Linked DNA regions of Saccharomyces cerevisiae S288C. Each later gene encodes a partner of the first gene's protein in a complex. Each region holds a gene or a part of one and is shown in the gene's direction. Other genes may lie near its edges. The genes, in order: RAT1 and RAI1.

The links.
Region 2: the proteins of RAT1 (region 1) and RAI1 are in contact, whole or in part, in a cryo-EM structure (PDB 9FMS), measured with the Saccharomyces cerevisiae proteins. Residues at the interface, in NP_014691.1 of Saccharomyces cerevisiae: Arg216 (codon at 2,601), Ala217 (codon at 2,604), Asp218 (codon at 2,607), Pro219 (codon at 2,610), Glu220 (codon at 2,613), Thr313 (codon at 2,892), Phe314 (codon at 2,895), Asp315 (codon at 2,898), Arg318 (codon at 2,907), Cys368 (codon at 3,057), Asp369 (codon at 3,060), Phe805 (codon at 4,368), Pro854 (codon at 4,515), Ser855 (codon at 4,518), Lys858 (codon at 4,527), Ser859 (codon at 4,530), Ile860 (codon at 4,533), Ile861 (codon at 4,536), Leu862 (codon at 4,539), Asn863 (codon at 4,542), Ile911 (codon at 4,686), Thr912 (codon at 4,689), Gln913 (codon at 4,692), Tyr914 (codon at 4,695), Lys915 (codon at 4,698), Arg917 (codon at 4,704), Thr918 (codon at 4,707), Gly919 (codon at 4,710), Gly920 (codon at 4,713), Tyr921 (codon at 4,716); in NP_011268.1 of Saccharomyces cerevisiae: Tyr46 (codon at 1,681), Tyr47 (codon at 1,684), Leu48 (codon at 1,687), Pro49 (codon at 1,690), Asp50 (codon at 1,693), Leu53 (codon at 1,702), Asp54 (codon at 1,705), Arg55 (codon at 1,708), Leu181 (codon at 2,086), Gln182 (codon at 2,089), Tyr183 (codon at 2,092), Thr184 (codon at 2,095), Arg186 (codon at 2,101), Ile189 (codon at 2,110), Glu190 (codon at 2,113), Phe226 (codon at 2,221), Asp227 (codon at 2,224), Phe228 (codon at 2,227), Gln247 (codon at 2,284), Val248 (codon at 2,287), Ala249 (codon at 2,290), Asn250 (codon at 2,293), Ile251 (codon at 2,296), Thr254 (codon at 2,305), Phe257 (codon at 2,314), Glu258 (codon at 2,317), Phe280 (codon at 2,383), Lys288 (codon at 2,407), Thr289 (codon at 2,410), Val290 (codon at 2,413).

What each region holds. Positions count from the first base shown.
Region 1 is NC_001147.6:417,987-423,605, reverse strand, and holds RAT1 (ssRNA exonuclease RAT1), read left to right. Parts: upstream 1-1,955; coding exon 1,956-4,976; downstream 4,977-5,619. Other genes in the region: phospholipid-translocating ATPase RSB1, read left to right, coding at 1-938. UniProt on the Saccharomyces cerevisiae protein: Possesses 5'->3' exoribonuclease activity. Required for the processing of nuclear mRNA, rRNA and small nucleolar RNA (snoRNA) precursors.
Region 2 is NC_001139.9:36,802-40,325, reverse strand, and holds RAI1 (decapping nuclease), read left to right. Parts: upstream 1-1,545; coding exon 1,546-2,709; downstream 2,710-3,524. Other genes in the region: glutamate--tRNA ligase GUS1, read right to left, coding at 1-1,303; BRR6 (Brr6p), read right to left, coding at 2,800-3,393. UniProt on the Saccharomyces cerevisiae protein: Decapping enzyme for NAD-capped RNAs: specifically hydrolyzes the nicotinamide adenine dinucleotide (NAD) cap from a subset of RNAs by removing the entire NAD moiety from the 5'-end of an NAD-capped RNA.

The sequences.
Region 1 (5,619 bases):
TGGAAGTTCTTGGATTTATAGGGAGGACGTGGTCGCATTCTAATGTCGCCGATATGGACGCTTTTCTTTTGAACATGATTTGTTTGACTATTGCACCAGTTTTCACAATGGGTGGTATTTATTATCAACTTGCAAAGCTTATAGAAGTATACGGCCACAGGTTCTCTTTATTGCCCTCTCCAATGGCGTATTCTTTTATTTTCATATGTTCCGATATCGTATCGCTTGTGGTGCAAGCTGTAGGCGGTGGCCTGTGTGGTGTGGCGGTCACAGATGGAACGTCCACAACAACCGGCAATCATGTTTTCATTGCTGGTTTGGCCATTCAAGTTGCATCGATGGCCATCTTTCTTATGTTATGGTTTCACTTCCTTTTCCGTATATATATATCGGTAAGATGGGAACACATAAATTCTAGACCTATCTCATTGAGCCTCTTAAAGATATCGCAAACAGAAGTTGATTATTTATACAGGGAAAAGTTCCATTTTTTGAGACTCGAACCTAAACGTTGGGTTTTTCATTATTTTAATCTGGCAATAACCGTTGCGGTACTAACCATTTTTACCCGTTGTTGTTACCGTTTGGCTGAATTAGTTGTCGGTTGGGATGGCTATCTGATCACACACGAGTGGTATTTTATTATCTTAGATGCATTAATGATGGCCATCGCTACGGTCACTTTGACCATCTTCCACCCTGGATTTGCGTTTAAAGGTAGAAGCACCTCGATTCCAATCACACCGGGCCATGTTGATCCTGAAACTTTACCACATACTGACGATGTTGAAGATATCTTAGATACTTCGGATTCAAAACAATTTGATATTGAAAAGGAGGAATTCCAAGCAAGCATGAAATACCCGATTAGCACCTTCAAACAATTCATGTCCAAAATAGCTAACTTGTTTTCCTCTAAAAAGAAGGCTAAACTTTAGTGATACGTAGAATTTGAATGTCAATCTGATCGTTCATATGCATTTTTCAATTCTTACTTTTTTTCTCGAAGTTCCCGACTATGTTCTGTTTATTTTTTCTCCTATTCAAAAGAACCGGACAGCATTTTTACTTCCTTATATTTCGACATCGTAATATGTACATTTTTTAGTTCACAAGTATTTTTCCCCTTTCAATGCTTTAATCAGCCTTCAACGTCATACATACTTTCTATTTTGTTCCTGTGCCATCGTATAACTTTCCTCGTTTAGTGTTTTCGCCTCAGCTTAATGTAGATCACTGTTTTGACGTTCTTCCATTTTTGGGAACGAACTAAACTAAAAAAAAGAAAACTACAGAGTTTCCCATAGAGAACAGAAAATCCGCTATCGGCAGCTTATAGGGTCATATAATTATGGCGCACATAAGGAAAATAAATTTATTTGAATCAATCAACAGACCTATCTGTTGATATATGAAAGAGAGCAGGAGCGTTAGTTTACCTCCATAAACAGTAAAATTAAAGCAAAAAAGCGTAACTGCTGATTGAAGCCTATATCACCGGGCTAAAATCTTATATCGGTTAAGAAAGTGATTAATTTATAGATATGTTCACGAAATCTTTTCTATTCAAAGATTCACGAATTTTACTCGATTTTTATAGTATACTGAAACAAGTAGTTGTAAAATCAATTCACCAAAAAAGCTTTCCCCATCTCTGATGAAAAACTACGAAAAGTTTACTATCACATAATATCGGAAGTACGTTTTTAAGGCACTGCAATGTATTTTATAATCTTGAACATTTGGAGGTATATTACCTTACTTTCTCATCAGGTTGTATATTTGAGCGTCTCGGGAATGATAAGTCGGGTAACGAGAGTATCTAGATAAGATTTTCAGCTATGGCAATAAAAAACCAAACCTCATCGATGAACCTATTACAACATAAAGACATCCCGTAATAATTAGTGAGACAGGTTCTTCAAGGAAGTGCTACAGCCAAGTTTCGTAATATAATGGGTGTTCCGTCATTTTTCAGATGGCTATCTCGAAAATATCCAAAGATCATATCCCCAGTATTGGAAGAGCAACCTCAGATAGTCGACGGTGTCATATTGCCGTTGGATTATTCCGCCTCAAATCCAAACGGTGAGTTAGACAACTTGTATTTGGATATGAATGGTATTGTTCATCCATGTTCGCACCCAGAAAACAAACCGCCTCCAGAGACTGAAGATGAAATGCTTTTGGCAGTTTTTGAATATACCAATCGTGTGTTAAATATGGCTAGACCACGCAAGGTACTTGTTATGGCTGTTGATGGTGTTGCTCCTCGTGCCAAAATGAACCAGCAGAGAGCGCGTAGATTTAGGAGTGCTAGGGATGCTCAGATTGAAAACGAAGCCAGGGAAGAAATTATGAGACAGCGAGAAGAAGTTGGTGAGATAATCGATGATGCCGTCAGGAACAAGAAAACTTGGGATTCAAATGCGATCACTCCAGGCACCCCATTTATGGATAAGCTTGCCGCGGCCCTCCGTTATTGGACAGCATTTAAACTGGCCACTGACCCTGGTTGGAAAAACCTGCAGGTGATTATCAGTGACGCCACCGTCCCAGGTGAAGGTGAGCACAAAATAATGAATTTCATTAGGTCTCAAAGAGCTGATCCTGAATATAATCCCAACACAACGCACTGTATATACGGTTTGGATGCTGATTTAATTTTTTTGGGCCTTGCCACTCATGAACCACATTTTAAAATTCTAAGAGAAGATGTTTTTGCTCAAGACAATCGGAAAAGAAATAACTTAAAAGATACTATAAATATGACTGAAGAAGAAAAACAATTTCTCCAAAAACAAAATTCCGAACAACCTTTCTTGTGGCTGCACATAAATGTTTTGAGGGAATACTTGTCCGCTGAGTTATGGGTTCCGGGTCTTCCATTTACATTTGATTTAGAAAGGGCTATCGACGATTGGGTTTTCATGTGCTTTTTCTGTGGTAATGACTTTTTACCACATTTACCATGCTTAGATGTCAGAGAAAATAGTATTGATATTCTCTTGGATATTTGGAAGGTAGTACTACCGAAATTGAAAACGTACATGACCTGCGACGGTGTCTTGAACCTCCCTTCTGTTGAAACGCTATTGCAACACCTTGGCTCCCGTGAGGGGGATATCTTCAAAACTAGACATATTCAAGAAGCCAGAAAGAAAGAAGCTTTTGAAAGAAGGAAAGCGCAGAAAAATATGTCAAAAGGTCAAGACAGGCATCCTACAGTAGCTACGGAGCAACTGCAAATGTATGACACACAAGGAAATTTAGCAAAAGGTTCATGGAACTTGACCACCAGTGATATGGTAAGGTTGAAAAAGGAACTGATGCTTGCGAACGAGGGGAACGAAGAAGCAATCGCCAAAGTTAAGCAACAGAGTGATAAGAACAATGAACTGATGAAAGATATCAGCAAGGAAGAAATTGATGATGCTGTTAGTAAGGCTAACAAAACTAATTTTAACCTTGCAGAAGTTATGAAACAGAAAATAATAAATAAGAAACACCGTCTTGAAAAGGATAATGAAGAGGAAGAAATTGCTAAGGATAGCAAAAAAGTTAAGACAGAGAAAGCGGAATCAGAGTGCGATCTCGATGCAGAGATCAAAGATGAGATTGTGGCTGACGTAAACGACAGGGAAAACTCTGAAACTACAGAAGTATCAAGAGATTCACCAGTCCACAGCACAGTGAATGTCAGCGAAGGTCCCAAAAATGGGGTCTTTGATACAGATGAATTTGTCAAACTATTCGAACCTGGTTACCACGAAAGATATTACACAGCTAAATTTCACGTTACTCCTCAAGATATTGAACAGTTAAGAAAAGATATGGTAAAATGCTATATCGAAGGGGTCGCCTGGGTACTAATGTATTACTATCAAGGTTGTGCCTCTTGGAATTGGTTCTATCCGTACCATTATGCTCCTCTGGCAACAGATTTCCATGGGTTTTCTCACTTGGAGATAAAGTTCGAAGAAGGTACTCCATTTTTACCTTACGAACAATTGATGAGTGTTTTACCAGCTGCATCTGGCCATGCTTTGCCAAAAATTTTCCGGTCTTTGATGTCTGAACCTGACTCTGAAATCATTGATTTTTATCCTGAAGAATTTCCCATAGATATGAATGGTAAGAAGATGTCCTGGCAAGGCATAGCGTTGCTACCATTCATCGATCAGGATAGACTGTTAACAGCTGTTCGTGCACAATATCCTTTACTTTCTGATGCTGAGAGGGCAAGAAATATTCGCGGAGAACCTGTTTTATTAATAAGTAACAAGAATGCTAATTATGAGAGGTTTTCGAAGAAATTATACTCAAAGGAAAACAACAACAACAATGTTGTTGTGAAGTTTCAACACTTCAAGAGTGGTTTAAGTGGTATTGTATCAAAGGACGTTGAAGGTTTCGAATTAAATGGGAAAATTGTATGTCCGATTCAAGGTGGGTCACTGCCAAATTTATCTACCACCTTGATTTTAAAGATGTCCTATAGATTAATTCCGTTGCCATCGAGAAATAAGTCTATTATACTGAACGGGTTCATTCCGTCAGAACCGGTACTAACAGCATATGACCTTGATTCCATAATGTACAAGTATAATAACCAAAATTACTCCCGTCGCTGGAACTTTGGTAATGATTTGAAGCAAAATATTGTTCCAGTAGGACCAAAGGGTATTACTCAGTACAAACCAAGAACTGGTGGCTATCGAGCATTCTTTTATTTTGCTGAGCTCAGTAGAAATAATGTCCAACCCGCCCACAACTATGGTAGGAATAGCTACAACAGTCAACCCGGCTTCAACAATAGCAGGTATGATGGTGGAAACAATAATTACAGACAAAATTCAAATTACAGGAACAATAACTATTCCGGAAATAGAAATAGTGGACAGTACAGCGGCAACAGCTACTCTCGGAATAACAAGCAAAGTCGGTATGACAATTCAAGAGCAAATAGGCGTTAGAACTACTCGTGCGCATTTTATTTTATGGTAAATTTAGGTTTTCGCAAATTTATAAAATCTTCATACAATTAAAAAAAAGCTCTTTTAAGATAATAGTGTCTGCTCTTACAAACGACGAACAGTAATATTTTATAACAAAAAATGGAACATATTAAGTTAAGAGAAAATCATGCTGAAGCATGAATATATGAATATACGTCCTCTTGTAAAATAGCGAAATCCTTGTAAGCCAATAGACCGAACTCTATTTTGATTTATACGCTTCGTGTATTTTTTCTTCCAGATCCAGGAGAAAAAGCATGGTCTGTTCTTCTTTTTTGAAAAGAGAGGCAGTCCACGGCGAAAGTTTCGAATACGGCACTACCTTTTTTTTCTAAGTTCCTAAACTTAAAATCAAATTTGGTCTTTGGTCTGTTATCATCCAGGGATGAATGCAACATATTGGGAAGTTCATGCTATACAACGCCAACCCCTTCGCTCAAGTCACGAAAGCACATCTTACACTTCCTCCTTGGCCAATATGCAAGCGTCCTCTTCAAAAAATCTTGCAACAAACAATCGGGTAATGTGGGATGTTGTGGAAAAATGAAATAAAGTTTTCAATAAATCCGACTGAGCTAAGCAGGAAAATTTTCGTACGCGG
Region 2 (3,524 bases), on another chromosome or scaffold:
TAACGAAATTGATACGAGCGAAATCCCAAATATGGACTTTTCTCAAACGCAAAGCTTGTAACATCCAATCATATTGAGCGTTACGGTCTCTATATTCAATGGTACGTAAAGCGTGGGTAACACCTTCAATAGCATCAACAATTGGGACACAGAAATCATAAGTTGGGTAGATCTTCCAAGTTGATCCGGTTCTGTGGTGAGGGGTTAGATTACATCTGTAAATGACAGGATCTCTTAGAGTCTTGTTCAAAGCCTTGTAATCGATCTTGGCACGAACACAGTTCTTCAAACCTTCTTCAGTACCGTTTTTCATTTCTTCGGTAAAAATTCTTAAGTTCTCTTCAACAGAACGATCTCTTCTGGCAGAAGCAACACCATCCATACGTTCTTCTCTCATCTTTTCAGTTGGAGTGTCGTCACAGTAAGCTTTACCATCCTTGATCATTTGAACACAGTAGTCGTACATTTCTTGGAAGTAGTCAGATGAGTAGGTTATTCTATCACCCTTGATTCCTAATAAATCCAAATCTTCCAAAATAGAGTCTTGGAATTCTTCCTTTTCCTTCGATGGGTTGGTGTCATCGAATCTAATAATCAACTTACCCTTGTAAGCTTGAGCAAAATATTGGTTCAACAAGGCAGCTTTGGCATGTCCAATATGTAAGTATCCAGAAGGTTCAGGTGGGAAACGAGTGACGACTTCACCCATTTTGGCATCTGGCAAATCAATTTCAAAGTTAGCCTTGTGAGTTTCCTTCTTCTTACCCACATTAGCACTTTTCTTTAATTCTAGTAAAGATTTGCTCAAGAAATCGTGAGCTTCGCCGAAGATGGGATCCATTTCTAACAAAGTGTACCAACGAGAAACGTTAACATCAACCTTGTTCTTGATGATGGAACCGCACATACCATTGGATCTTAAAGCACCCCAACATGCTACATCAGCGGCAGAATACTTCAAGCCGCCAAGAATAAAGGTTCTTAGGTTCAATTGAGAATCTAGTGTTTCCAATGATTGTGATAATTTAGCAAAGTTCTTGATAACTAATTCCTTTTGGGCCAGATTAACCCATTTAGCAACTTGCTCTTTATCACCATTATCGAAGATGGCGGCGAATTTGCTAGTTATCTTGTTGAAGACATCTTCAGTAGCATCATCGAGCTTGGCAGCAGGTGCTTTCTTATCGTCCACCAACTTAATAGCTATGGAGTTAGGAGCTAACGCATTCACAATACGAGCAGCAATTAGTTCAGCATAAGCCACAATTGGGGCTTTTCCATTAATAGTCAAGGTAGATGGCATCTTGATCCCTTCTATGCTTTCCTTAACCTTTGAAAATAGTTTCGTCATTCTTATGGAAGTTATCTTCCATTTTTTTCACTTTATCTTGCTTTTAACGAAGAAGAAAAAAAGAGTAAGCATTCGGGTAAATTGAAAAATTTACTTCGAGAATATTAGGAACAGATGAGGTCTGGTAATGTTACTAATACTTCTGTAATATGGTGAAAGAATAGCGAAATATTAGACCAACATAGTGTATCCCAATGGGTGTTAGTGCAAATTTGTTCGTAAAGCAAAGAGGGTCGACAACAGCTCTGAAGCAGCCAAAGGAAATAGGATTCTATTCAAGAACTAAGGATGAAGAATATTTAATTAGCGATGATACGAATTTGAATTACTACTATCTTCCAGACGCTGAATTGGACAGGAAGTTGGATCTTTCATCAGGATTTCAGAAATTTAAGGATTATTACAAAGATTTTGAAGACAGGTGTTCCCTGCGTGGGCTATTAGAAACCATAGAAAGCTCTGAAAGACATAAAGGAAAAAAAATTAATGCTGATATAATTACTTTTAGAGGAATAGCACGGAAATTAATTTCATGTGCATTTGACTCTCCATCTTTTAATACAGTTGATCTTCGTATCGTTTCATTCAACGGCCAACTTTTTATCAAGGAAGTGCCTGAAGCTGTCAATGCAGCTAAGGCTTCCTCTGCAACTGAAGCAGGGCGTAATATAAATCAAGATCTGAATGTATTTACAGGGTACAAGTTTGAAACTTTGGCTACTCTTTCCAATCCGTTGCAGTATACACCCCGTGAAGTGATAGAAAAAAGAACTAAAAGGATTGTATCGCATGGAGATGAATACATTAGTGTTGTGAGAACTGGTGTAGGTAACTGCAAGTTAATTCTTGGTGCTGAGGTGGATTGTATATTTGACTTTAAAGAAAACGGTAGAGACAATTTAAAACATTATGCCGAATTGAAATGTACGCAGCAAGTTGCGAACATATCGGATACGCATAAGTTTGAGCGTAAACTGTTCCGGACCTGGCTGCAATGCTTCTTAGTTGGGATCCCAAGGATCATATATGGTTTTAAAGACGACCATTATGTATTAAAAACTGTGGAAGAGTTTTCAACGGAGGAAGTACCTGTTTTATTAAAGAACAATAATCCACAAGTTGGAAGTGCATGTTTAGAAGCCATTAAATGGTATGGTCTCCTTACTGAGTGGCTTTTGAAAATGATACCAAGAGATGAGGATCCTCATTCTCAAATAAGAGCATTTAAGTTGGTTTTCGAAAATAATCACCTAAGATTATCCGAAATTGAAGAAAGTGATGAGGAATATTCAGGTTTGATTGATGGAGAACATATATTATCGAACGGGTTTAAGGAGTGGAGAAAATCTTTGAAATAACAATATTCCTTTATGTCTTTCCTGCGCATATCCTCATCGACGTATGGATCTAAATAATATAAATGTGCAGATTAGATTAAGTTATATACACTATGCATGGCGAACCGATTTTGTATCTTTATTATTGAGATAAACCCTGTATGATCCGAAACTCGTATTGGTAACAAATATTATACCTATTATGCTAATTAAAATGAAAAGGAAAGATCGTATACTGAACGCTTCAAAAAAAGCATTTATTACCTCCGCCAGAGTACGAGCCCATGCTTTAGCCCATTGGTAATCGGAGCCAGACACTATTTCCTTGTTCATACATTTTGACCATTCATTGCAACGTACCTCCAATGCTGGAACCCTCATATGAGGTTCGCACTGGTTTTCAAAATACCTTGATTTGCAAGTTGCAATTTTATCTAATTCTTCCCTCACGTTATGCTCCAGTTTTAAGTTAACATCGTTTCTTATCATCAAAATGAATTTAATAGCAAGAGACAGTCCTATAGTTCCTATAATAAAATTGAAAAAAAGCTGTATATACTCCGCAATTAAACTTGGGCTCAACCAAATGCTTTGTCGGGCTAATCTAGCATCTTGCGGATGTTCACCTTCCAATACTTCCTCCCTTCCCAATCTTGGGTTAGCAAGTATGCCATCAGGCTGTCTAGAAAAACTACGGAGTTCCATTCCGGGACTTATGTTGGGATAGGGGATTCAAAGATGAGTCTACATAAGTTAACTCATCAATAATAATGGAAAGAAGTTTCATTAGTTACTACTAGTATTTTGCTTGCTCCCGGGTAATGAATTTTTCCGCT